3 linked regions of the Nothobranchius furzeri genome follow. The protein of the gene in region 2 purifies or fractionates together with the protein of the main gene of each other region. This does not show direct contact. Links are inferred from orthologs where the notes say so. Each region holds a gene or a part of one and is shown on either strand. Other genes may lie near its edges.

Region 1 (3,752 bases), on a different chromosome or scaffold from region 2:
ATTTGTTGTTTTTCAGTCCTTTACATCCTTTTCGCAAAAATGTACATCATTTTTAAAGCTTTGTGCGTTTTCAAAGCTGACATACCAATAAATTTCGATTGTGTATGCTTAATGACAATGCAAAAGGATCTAATTCTGACATTAACTTTTTTTTAATGTCTTTAAAAATTTCATCCCAGTGCAACAGGATTTATATGCTAGATGAGAAAGATAAATGTTTTTACTTATGTCAGCAACTTCAAAATCCTTTTTATGGCATTTTAATTTATTTGCTGAATGTATGACAGCATTTTAAAAAACATCTGCAAGGCAAATGACCTTAATGAGGACATAAACAACTGAACAGAGAAGCAGATGACCATGATTATTACAACTTCCAGGAAATTACAGTTAAACAAGAAAACTAAAAGGAACATTATGAAAAGTTCAGTTTTCCACCTAAATTCCTTGACTTGAGCTAGTTTTCATTTCTTCTTCAGTGCTGCAGAAATAACAGGGCACTGCTGTCCCTGTCCATCCTCAAAGCATTATGAGACCAGAACTCCTGCTCCACTTTTGGATCCTCCTCCTTCATTGTCTTGCGAGTTTGCTGCCGACTGGCCCTGCGCCTCTCCTTCACCCTCTCCAACCAGCCGGATATTGTAACGTTCTCTGTACTCTGTGAGCTCCTGTCCTTTTGCCTGCATCTGTGTGTTGATGGTCTCGATTATTTTGGAAATCTATTAGAACAGAGGAAGATGGATGAGAAATCAGACAAACGAAACATCCTGCAGTTGACACCTAAACGTTTATTTTTGACTTCAAAACCTATAAACAAAACTCTTTCTTGTGAAATTATGTAGATTAACTCGATGTACACTTATTGTTATTTTGGTGTTAAATAAGTGATTTAAAATGTCTCAGTTTATTCTCCTGATCATTCCTGTGACCGAAATAAATAACATTACCTTTTCTTTGTTGTTTTCTAAGGCTGGTAGAACTTCTTTTACTGTCCTTTCCACCAACACTCCTCCAACCAGACGAAAGCATTTCCTGGAAGGATCCACTTCCTTTAGGGTCTCAATTACTAAACTAAATATGAAAAGAAATAGCAAAGGTATTAAACGGTCTGTCTTTTGGATTGTTTCCCCTACAAAATCTTGTGAAACATTTGTGTCTAGAACATAAATGTAGATGATGCTCCACCAACCTGTGCTCGTTGACATCCATCTCCAGCTCAGCAGCTTTCGAAGCCATACTACGCTGCTCCTGACGCATCCTCTGAAATGTTGCTACCACCTGAAAACAAATGGAATTTGATCATTTTTTTATTAAGTATAATAAATAAATAAAAAACAGATGCTGCTACTCCTTAGTTGTCTACTGAAACCAAACTCTTAAAGTCATAACTGGTAATTAGCATATTACAATTTTGTTTAAAAGATTATTAAATAAATGTACATAATGCAGCAACTCATTAATGGTAAAGGTTTAATTTTATTATCAGATTTAATCTACAACTTTTTAGAAGTAGTGGACATAAACTTTGTTTATTTGATGGTTTTAATCACCATTTACGCAGAGTCATAGACTTTATATGTAAGAAAATAACAAAAAGGTTATGATACAATATGGCAATATTTACATTTTATTATTATTTTTGTAAAACCTGATCAATAAAGGTTTTGACACATATTTGAAGGTATTGCTCGACTCTAATGTTGCCATTATTGTTGTTAAAGGATATATTACGGACTACAGTGCACTGTATTACAGACATTACAGCAGTGATTTGTTTAATATGGTCTGAGTAATAATTTATTAGGGTTAGGTGGACAAAAATAGCTTTATGCTTAGTCACACCAAACCAAACACATTATTTCAAAACCGTAAATACATAGACTAACGTAAAAATTGTTAGAAGTAAGAGTTTGATGTAAACTCTCATAATGTCCTTATTAGACTCCTAACGGTTCCCGATGTCCAAATTTGGGTTTTGAGCCAGATGATCGCGACAGGAATGCTAATGTTAGCTTAGACTAGCTAGGGGCTATACTTTTAGTTCTGCTTTACCAAACTGAGCCAAACAACAACAGAAATAATTGTAACGACAAATGAAACCTTTTTATATAATTGAGAGTACCTGTTCAGCTGAAAGTCCGGACTGTTTTCCGCCGGCGCTGCTGCTGGACTTGCTACCCGTGCTGCTACCGTTCGCTGCCATCTTGGAAGGGTGTTGCCAATTAGGACCCTGCAGCTATCTAATGAGATTGCCTGAGTGCAAATGCGGCTTGTAAAACATCTAAATTACTTTGCAACCATCTTTTACTTTTTCATGTAAAAACTCAGAAGCAGAACCGCAAACAAAATACAACTTAATTCAACATAAAATAAAATGGCATTTGAAGGAATAATTTCTATTAACTTCCATCAACTTTGTATTGTTTTTGTTTTTTCGTGCATACGCTTTTTTATTTTATGTTTATGTTTATTTATTTGGCAGAGGCTTTTATCCAAAGTGACTTGCAATTTATAACGTATGGGGCATGTTTTGATCTGTGGGGGAAACAGGAGTACCCGGAGGAAACCCACGCATGAATGGGGAGAACACGCAACACGCAGAAAGGCCGCAGCCGAGTTTCGAACCTGCAACCTTCGTGCTGCGAGGCAACAGTGCTAACAACTGCGCCACCATGCAGCCCATTTTCCGAATCTAGCTTATTTATTAAAGCAGTTTCTGCATCGTGGAGTTTTAGACGTGTTTTTTCTCTTTCAAATATTCTTTATTTCAGCCAAAGGACATATTAATCATTAAATTAATTAATTTGCACACCGCCAAGACAAGACAAGACAGCTTTATTTGTATAGCACATTTCCTATACAAAGGTAACTTAATGTGCTTTACAGCAGCCTATAGGTAACATCAAAAGCAAAACAAAAATGAACAAAAATAACAAAAGTTTTCATGTTAGACAATAATCAGAAGCACACCGTACATAAATTAAAATCAATAATTAAAAACAAATGAAGAAATACATGTAAATTTTTAATACAAAAATACACTTAAATGCATTTATCGACATTTTTTTATTTTTATAATTCAAACGCTGTAAAGGACTGCTGAAAGCGGATTAACCTCATACAGACCTCTAGATTTTTATTTGCTCTGGGGTTTTCAGAAGATTGAACACATTAAATGTGTTGTTTGAATTTGTTTTCAAAAGCAACAATGCATGGTTTAGTGCACCTGAACTTAAATTTATTAATGTAAAACTTTGCCATAATAATCAGAATGATTACGAAAAGAGTTGTAATTGAGAAACACACAATATTATTGTCAATATGTCTTCAAAGTTGACTGAAATGCGACGTATACGTGCTGTTTATATCTTATTAGTGAACTAGACCAAACGTTTGCTTTGCAAAATAATATATTTATTCAGTCTGGTTTAAGGGTATTTTTGATAGTTATTTATAAACCTGTGTTATATTTGAATGATTATGATGCATTTATAATACTTTAAAAACAATTTTAGGAGTATAAAAACATTGCCAACTCAAAAACTATTCCACATCCTAAAACAATGGACTTTTCATTACATTTAAAGTTTTATTTTATTTTATTTATTTATTTTTGTTTTTTTGTTATTACCACATATTGTTATAAAAAGTCTCCAGTAGGTGGCAGTAGGGTGCTATATGTACATTTCTGGTCATTTTTTGCATCGCAGAGAAGAAGGGGCTGCTCGCGTTATGTAATTGTCGATGGTTAA
Region 2 (3,752 bases):
AATTTATTAGAGTACTCGATTAATCGATAAAAGATTCGATAGAGTACTCGATTACAAAAATATTCGATAGCTGCATCCCGCATCACGATTATTTCATATTAGTTTGTTTTCATCGATAAATGGAAGATGTCAGATAATTGCTTTTTAGTTTTATGTTTTTTTTATCAAAAGCGTAATCGACACAACCTGCTGTCCCTCAAAATCTCTCCATTCACAACAGGTTAGGACAAAACATTTAAACATTTAAGAAGATTTAACAAAGTAAAACATCTGTTTCCTCGTTCAACACCACGCCTCAGGCTGAGAAGAACACGCTTTGCAAAAACTCACAAAATCTAAAAAAGTACTGAAAACCTACAGGAAACATAACGTAATAATAAAATCCATAATGGGTTCATATATGAGTGTTTAATGTCTCTGAGCAGCTCTAGAGTCCGATATTTATGCCACAGTTGAAGGGTGTCAGAAATAACACCAAATGAAATGTTTGACTTAATTTCATTTGAACCCAGTGGTTCATTTCTGAAATGTTGGAGAATGAATCAAGTTCTGTTTGATGCAGAAAATAATAAAACATAAAACAAATTCTACACTTCCAATAATATTTAAGATGTGTGTTTTATTCTTTCTGATAATAACACCAGCAGAAGGCTGTGGGCTGGATTAGGATTAAATTACCCAGCTGATGGAGCTCCTTCACTAACCAGCTAACTAACCTTTCCACTAACCTGTCCTGTGGGACCCTCACCATGTGACCCTCATGTCCATGCTGTCTCTGGAGGAGCAGATGGGAGACAAGACCTCCTGTAACTTAAAATGAACCAAAGCTTCCTCCCAGCTTCTCTTTAAGCTGAATTTAACATCAAATTATCATCATGACACAAAAGAATAAAGTGGAACAAGAACTTCTATCTTCTATCTCTCTCCTCTTAATTTCTCCGTGTCCCTAAATAAAAGACGATCACGCTGCAGCCACCGTCATTGACCCCGCCCCCTCCCCAAGACCGGATCTCCCAGCATCACAACACTCGGTCTGACTGAGCGCTTCCAGGAGAAATAATAATTAAATTATGAAAATAATAACGCGTGTTTGGAGCATCGGTTTGGAGGAGCGTCCTCCGATCCTCTCTCTCCCTCTCTCAGTTGCTGTGCGAGCGGAGCGCGCCGTGTGACAACCCACTCAATTGACGTAATTCAGGGCCCAAATCCAACAGAACTAGTCGGGCTGATTCGGTTCCGGTTCGGTCTCAGGTTAGAACTCAAGCGCTCAGCCCTGCAGAACCACATTAAGGCGGAACCACTTGGTAAATGTGGAGGACGCTCACTCTGACAGATTTGGACGCTGCGCTGGTGCCGCTGTTAAAAAAACAAAACTACATTCCACTATAATCGATGATGGCGTACTCTTCTACGATGCAGAATCGTTTATGTCCGCATCCCGATGCATCGATTATTTTCCTCAGCTCTAACCTCGATAGTTCCGGGTTTGTTTCGACACCTTCGAGCTGCACAGCGACTTGAATTCGGTTTTCTCTCTGATGTTTTAAGAGAAGAGCAAAACGAGTTACTGAGTTACGTGGATCCACTCACTTTAGCAGCTTCTAGCATCTCTTGTGTTTCTTCCTGGGAGTGGCTGATGAAGACACCACCTATCTGGTAGGGGATCAACAGAGTGTCGTCGTCTAACAGCATCAGGTCGTCGCTGGCATCCTGAAGGTTCTGCAGCGTTCTCTGAAAGAGGACACCACACACAAAGCAATCGGTGAGGGCAGTTCATAGATTACTGACTGCTCCAGTAGCTCTTCCAGGACACATCAGACTCCTTACACATTAAATAACAGGGTTCTACATCAACTTGCGTGTATGACTTTGGCATTTTAGAGGAAACTGCCGAAGTCAAACCCCACCGGTGTTGATCTGCATAAGTGGCAACTGTTCCATGTAGGCACTGACGTTCTGGAGGTTAGAGCTACCAGTGTGCCTCTGAGCCACAAAGCCACCATCTGATGGAGGTCTGAGTTTACTCTTTAAAAAGTCATGTTGATCTTCCTTTAGCCAGCCAGAAACAACAAACACTGCGATCAGTTCCTGACAGATGTAAGAAATCTACTCAACATTACCCAGGCTGGATAAAAACCTGAAATAAGCCAGCATCGGGTTAAGGTTACAGGAAACGAGGATGCTTCAGCAGAAAACACCAAACTCACCTTCTTTGATTCGATTTCATTTTTGAGCTCCGTCATCCGACTCGTGTTTCTGGCGAATTTGTTGATTTTCTGCTGATCTTCGAACGTGACAACCACGTCTTCAACAGCCTGCAAACCGGAAGATGACGTTAATTGTAAATAACTAAACATTTCACAAGCGCACCGGGTCTGAGGTCCGGTCGACTCCCACAGAGCTGGTTAGTGACAAACCGATAAACCGTCGTCAGCTTCAGCCGCTGCCCGGCAGGGTGGTTGTAGCCTCTGTGCTAGCTACATTAGCTCCACTCACTCACATGAACGGGTGGTGAGAATGGTTAAAATAAACCCCAAAAACTGTGACTTCTGACATCAAATACTCCTCTGCTGTTTCCATTCATATCTGCGACTAAAGCGGCGCATGAATTTAATTACAGGAAAACGTAAAATTCCTTTAAAAACGAACTTACAACAGGACTCTTCATGACGGTAGCTGCCATCTTGACTTCTTCTGCTGTTGTCAGAAAGCAGCGCTCAATAGAGAGCCGCTGCGACACCACCACCTGGCGGTAGCACTTCAGCATTACATGCTGTGCGCATGTGACAAAGATTGAATACAAATACTTACAGAGTGGTCTTTTTTAAGTATTATTAACCAAATAATGACACAGATCAATGATGATACAATGATACAGTGCTCTGAAGAGACCCCCACACTAGAGAAGTGGTTCCAACAAATTCCTGGACAAACATCTGACAACTCAGTCTGGAAGAGTGCAGTTCTAGGACCAGCTAAGAACCTTCAAGCTGCCAGGGGTCTCATTTATCAAACATTGTGTAGAATCCTTACTAAAACCGTACTTAAGCTCAGCAAAAAAAAAGTACTTATGCCAAGTAGGTTTGTGATCTATCAAACATGGAGTACACACAGCTGCACGCAATTGCAACTTCATAAATCAGAGACTATCTAGATAGGTTCTCAGCTGCTTTTTAGTCACATCCCGCCCTCACCACGCCCACTTACTGCCATAAATAGTCAATGCAAAGTGCCTTGTGGATCCCATGCGTATACATAAGCCGGCTGTTGCAGCGCTCCGCCAATGACATGGCGACCGTAGATCAAGGCAGATCAAGAAAGCGCTATTACACACAAGCAGAAGTTGAGGTACCTGTGGGTGAGGTGGAGAAATGTAAGGAAGTACTTTTGCAAAACAAATAAGAGAAAATCCACGGAGTGGCACAGCGTTGCTGAAGCCGTCAATGCTGAGTTCTTCAGAGAGATCTGTGGCTGATATAAAAAAATGATCCAATCAGGATTCAGTCCCCAGACTCCCAGGCAGCGCTGGACTGACCATAGGGCATAGCGGGCAACTGCCCGCTGGGCCGACCCTTTCATCTTTTATGGGCCGGTGTCTGTTTTTTTTTTGTTTTGTTTTTTTTCCTGGCTTCTAGTTGTTGCGGACAACTTGTCCGCGCCACCCCACGCGACGCCTCGTAAAAGTTGGTGGATTGGCCAATTGGTAATAATACACTCTGGGCTGGACCAATAGCCAGAGGTCTGATGCACCC
Region 3 (3,752 bases), on a different chromosome or scaffold from region 2:
CAGCACACGCCCCTGTGGAGTGAAAGTCTGAAATAAATAAAACCGTGATCATGTGATCCTCAAATCTGATCTCCTTTCCAGCGTTCCTGACTGACCCGGGATCTGTTGTGTCTACTATTGTACAGGTCCGGGGCGAGCCCAGTTGGGGGGTTGGGTGTGTGGGCTGCAGGAGCCCAGTGACTGAGCTGACCACACGGGGAACTTGGTCGTTTTTCCAGGGTTTTGTCCTTTTCGTGGCCCGACCACGGTCATTTCTATTTACAGCTGTGGTCGTCTGTCGTTGTCTGAGTGTGAGACGGAGAGGCTGAGCCGTCCACTTCTTGCAGGAACTGAAAATAATTTATTATTGTGACGCTTCTCTTTCAGAAGCCGCCTGAATGTTTCAGAAGACAAAAACTGTTACGGTAAGCCAAAGAACGCGTGAAAAATGTGTCAGAGCGGCGTTTTGTGATAAAACGGGTCATCACTACTAACTCTTTCTCCACTCAGATCCAACAACTTATCACACGGAAGGATTCACAACACCTGTTGGGAGACAGCTGGTGCTTTGGGCCGACAGCTCACTGAACTAGAACCTTTAGTTCTGAAACAGACACTCAACCCTAACCCAGCACCAGATGGACTCCAGCAGCAGAAGACCACACCAGCTGTCAGCCAACAACAGGAACCTGGGCCTCAAATCCCCACAGCATCACCAGAAGGGACCGGAAAACGTTGCCTGGTCTGACGAGTCTAGACCTCCAACACCAGGATCCCAGTGTCGGTGCTTTTTCATCGAGTTCCTGATTATTTTCTTTGCAGTCAGAGTTTCTTACTGTTTGTGCCTCATAATGAAGAGAAGTGTGCTCACTAGGATGCAGTTCACGAACAACAATGTCCTGCTATGAAAATGGACCTCTCATTAAAACAATATGAAGCTGGAGGATTAGTTTCCAGTGTTGCTTTTCTAACAAACGATAAATATTTTCTAAATGAGCACACTAAACGTTTAGGAAGTGTCCGAGAGACTGCAACCAAATTAATGGTCACATTTATTATCATTATTATTATAATAACCAGAATAATAAACTCTTTAAAAAGCTTTAGCTTTCATTTAGTGCCCATAAAATAAATGTTAAATGAAGAAATGGTTCCAGGTCCATTCTGATCCGGAGACTGCTGTTTCGTGAGGATCTATGAGGTGAACAAGGGTCTGTAGTACCGGTGCTTGAATCATTAGTGTGGTGGATGGAACCGCTGATGTGTCACAACACACATACCTTCGATCTCGTTGAGACGACCGACTTTAGTTCTCAGCTCTTTGCGAAGGTGGTTTATTTCCTTGTCCAGCTGCTCTTGGTCTGCAGGTTGGAGAAACGGCTCAGACTAAATTCGACTCGTGTTAAAAACGGAAGATCTAACTTGTAAACGATAAAGGATCACCTTTCCGGATCATCTGCGTCGTTTTAGACTTGGAGAACTTGATGAACATGTTTCCAAAGCAAACCTTGACTTTTTCTGTGGACGGCAGCAGAGGCGGCCATTACTCCTTCATCACCAGGGTCACCAATAAACAACCACGAGTTTCATAATTAGCCTGAGATTATTTACAGATTACACGTGTTCCTTTAGGCAATAATAACAGACGGATGTTCCAGCTTTATGGGAACGTTTGGTTGTTGTAGCTACAAGGGTTCCTCTGTGGTGTTCTGGTGGCCTGAGTGCTGATGGATCACAAACCTTTATCCGACATCTCATGTTTCAGTGCGTTCAGCGCCTCTCTGTTGAAGTTTCTCTTCATGTCCAGGTCAACAATCTGAAACACACACACACGTTTGTTTTAAGGGAGGACATTATTAACTGGGATATCCGTGCGTGTGTGTGTGGTTTTAGAACAACAGTTTTCTTCAGATATCATGAACGCACCACCTGACTGGACCAGCTACAGAAGGACATTTGACTCTAGACAACATCGGTGTGGTGACGGGTAAATGAAGTGTTGAACCAACACCAGAACTTAGCTCTCTTGGCTCCAACCGCTAAAATCCTCATGCATAAAGCTGCTAACGCACAGAACTGCGTCTGAAAACCGCGTACGTCACATCCACTCACACTTGTTAGCATGAAGCTAGCAGCTGTAACCCGCTACGGGTCTCACCGCGTACGTCACTTCCACTCACACTTGTTAGCATGAAGCTAGCAGCTGTAACCCGCTACGGGTCTCACAGAACCAGCCTGGCCACGGTGGGTCTGGATGTGTTTACCTGTTGTTTGGCGGTGAGAACATCCTCAGCCGCCTCTTCCACTTCAGTCAAGCGCTCCAAAACACGCAGAGAAGCGTCGTCCATCTTTGAGTCTTCTTCTTCTGGGCTAACGGTGGACTACCGCCCCCTGCTGGAGAGAGGTCACCTCCGCATCCGCCGCGAAGCTTTTCACAAATGTATTTTCAGAGGTGTGACCATAGACTGTACATACTCCACATACAAATGTTTTTCTGTATTTTTGTAAATATTCTCATCATAAACTAAATAAATAGGAAAAACATTTTCAAAAGCATGTCCAAGTGGGCTCAAATTCTTCATGTATAGCAGGTGTGACCAAGTCACTGCTTTGCAAGTCATAAGTAAGTCACAAGTCTTTCCATTCAAGTCTAAAGTCAAATCCAAGTCAAAGACAACCAAGTCCAAGTCAAGTCCTTAACTTTGAATTTTCAAGTGATAATCAAGCCATCTGTCCAACTTCTATTTAATGACGATGATAATAAATTAATTCCAGAAAAAAACCTTCTTAAAGCTTCTTTTTTTTTGCTCAAACAAGCAGAAACTGAGACTGGTTATAAACAAAGCGCTGCTGCATTCAGCAGTAAATCAAACCCAGAACCAAGAATGATTTATGATTTTTGTCCATGTCGTGCCACTTCTGTGACAAAATATCAAACATTCTCAAGTCATCATCAAGTCAACAGATGCAAGCCGATTCAAGTCACAAGTCACTGGTGTTCAAGTCCAGTCAAGTCATAAGTCTTTATAGATTTTATCAAGTCAAGTCAGAAGTCATTCAAATAATGACTCAAGTCTGACTCGAGTCCAAGTCATGTGACTCGAGTCCACACCTTTGTGTATTATAGTCAAAATGTACAAGTTACTGTGCAAAACAAACAAATTACAAATCATTTTCCTTGGACCAATAGAAAAAAGTCCATCGTTCCTGAAACTTCAGCTGAATCCCTTCCAGAAACATCTGTTATTGTCACATAAAATAAGAGTGGACTCAGCATTAACGCCTTTAAACCAAGTTTCATGATGGACAGGACTTAAAAGCAACATTACACGCACGGTGGTCACGGGTGTAATGAACTGACCAGGTTTGAAAATGGACCCAAATATTCCAGAAACAGTTTTCAGACTTTCAATTTTCCACATTTTCCTCATTCAAACGCAGCAACACTCAAATAAGTACTTTTTATACTTGTGACAGTTTAAATGTTCTTGATTTAAAGAGCATAAGTTCTGATTTGGAAGCGATAACTTTTCTTTTGGAGCCAAACTTTCCCGGTACACATCCGGTGGAGGAGACTGAGCCCAGCTTGTGGGTATAGCCTCGCTCCACAGGAGCCTCAGCTGGTCCCCCATGGGCCTGGCTCACCAGGTTAGGCTACAGTAACACTTATAGATGAAATGCTTGAGGGTTTGGGAACCTTTTAATGGTTTGAAGTTTGAGTTTAAGACTACTCATGTAAATATTAAAACTGGGCCAATGATTTAGTGTGTTTA

The links.
Region 1: the proteins of pfdn4 (region 2) and pfdn2 purify together in Homo sapiens (affinity purification with mass spectrometry; 6 studies listed by BioGRID and IntAct, counting the BioPlex papers as one, with this or other methods). This does not show direct contact. The link is inferred for Nothobranchius furzeri from reciprocal best matches to the Homo sapiens genes PFDN4 and PFDN2.
Region 3: the proteins of pfdn4 (region 2) and pdrg1 purify together in Homo sapiens (co-immunoprecipitation; 3 studies listed by BioGRID and IntAct, counting the BioPlex papers as one, with this or other methods). This does not show direct contact. The link is inferred for Nothobranchius furzeri from reciprocal best matches to the Homo sapiens genes PFDN4 and PDRG1.

What each region holds. Positions count from the first base shown.
Region 1 is NC_091742.1:74,820,877-74,824,628, reverse strand, and holds pfdn2 (prefoldin subunit 2), read right to left. Parts: upstream 2,426-3,752; 5' UTR 2,204-2,425; coding exon 2,123-2,203; intron 1,279-2,122; coding exon 1,190-1,278; intron 1,072-1,189; coding exon 948-1,071; intron 720-947; coding exon 528-719; 3' UTR 245-527; downstream 1-244. UniProt on the Homo sapiens protein: Binds specifically to cytosolic chaperonin (c-CPN) and transfers target proteins to it. Binds to nascent polypeptide chain and promotes folding in an environment in which there are many competing pathways for nonnative proteins.
Region 2 is NC_091755.1:40,025,446-40,029,197, forward strand, and holds the start of pfdn4 (prefoldin subunit 4), read right to left. Parts: upstream 2,783-3,752; 5' UTR 2,768-2,782; coding exon 2,654-2,767; intron 2,316-2,653; coding exon 2,208-2,315; intron 1,732-2,207; coding exon 1,591-1,731; intron 1-1,590. UniProt on the Homo sapiens protein: Binds specifically to cytosolic chaperonin (c-CPN) and transfers target proteins to it. Binds to nascent polypeptide chain and promotes folding in an environment in which there are many competing pathways for nonnative proteins.
Region 3 is NC_091743.1:5,381,364-5,385,115, reverse strand, and holds the start of pdrg1 (p53 and DNA damage-regulated protein 1), read right to left. Parts: upstream 2,399-3,752; 5' UTR 2,328-2,398; coding exon 2,244-2,327; intron 2,105-2,243; exon of another isoform or gene 1,936-2,104; coding exon of another isoform or gene 1,906-1,935; intron 1,796-1,905; coding exon 1,720-1,795; intron 1,498-1,719; coding exon 1,423-1,497; intron 1,341-1,422; coding exon 1,260-1,340; intron 1-1,259. UniProt on the Homo sapiens protein: May play a role in chaperone-mediated protein folding.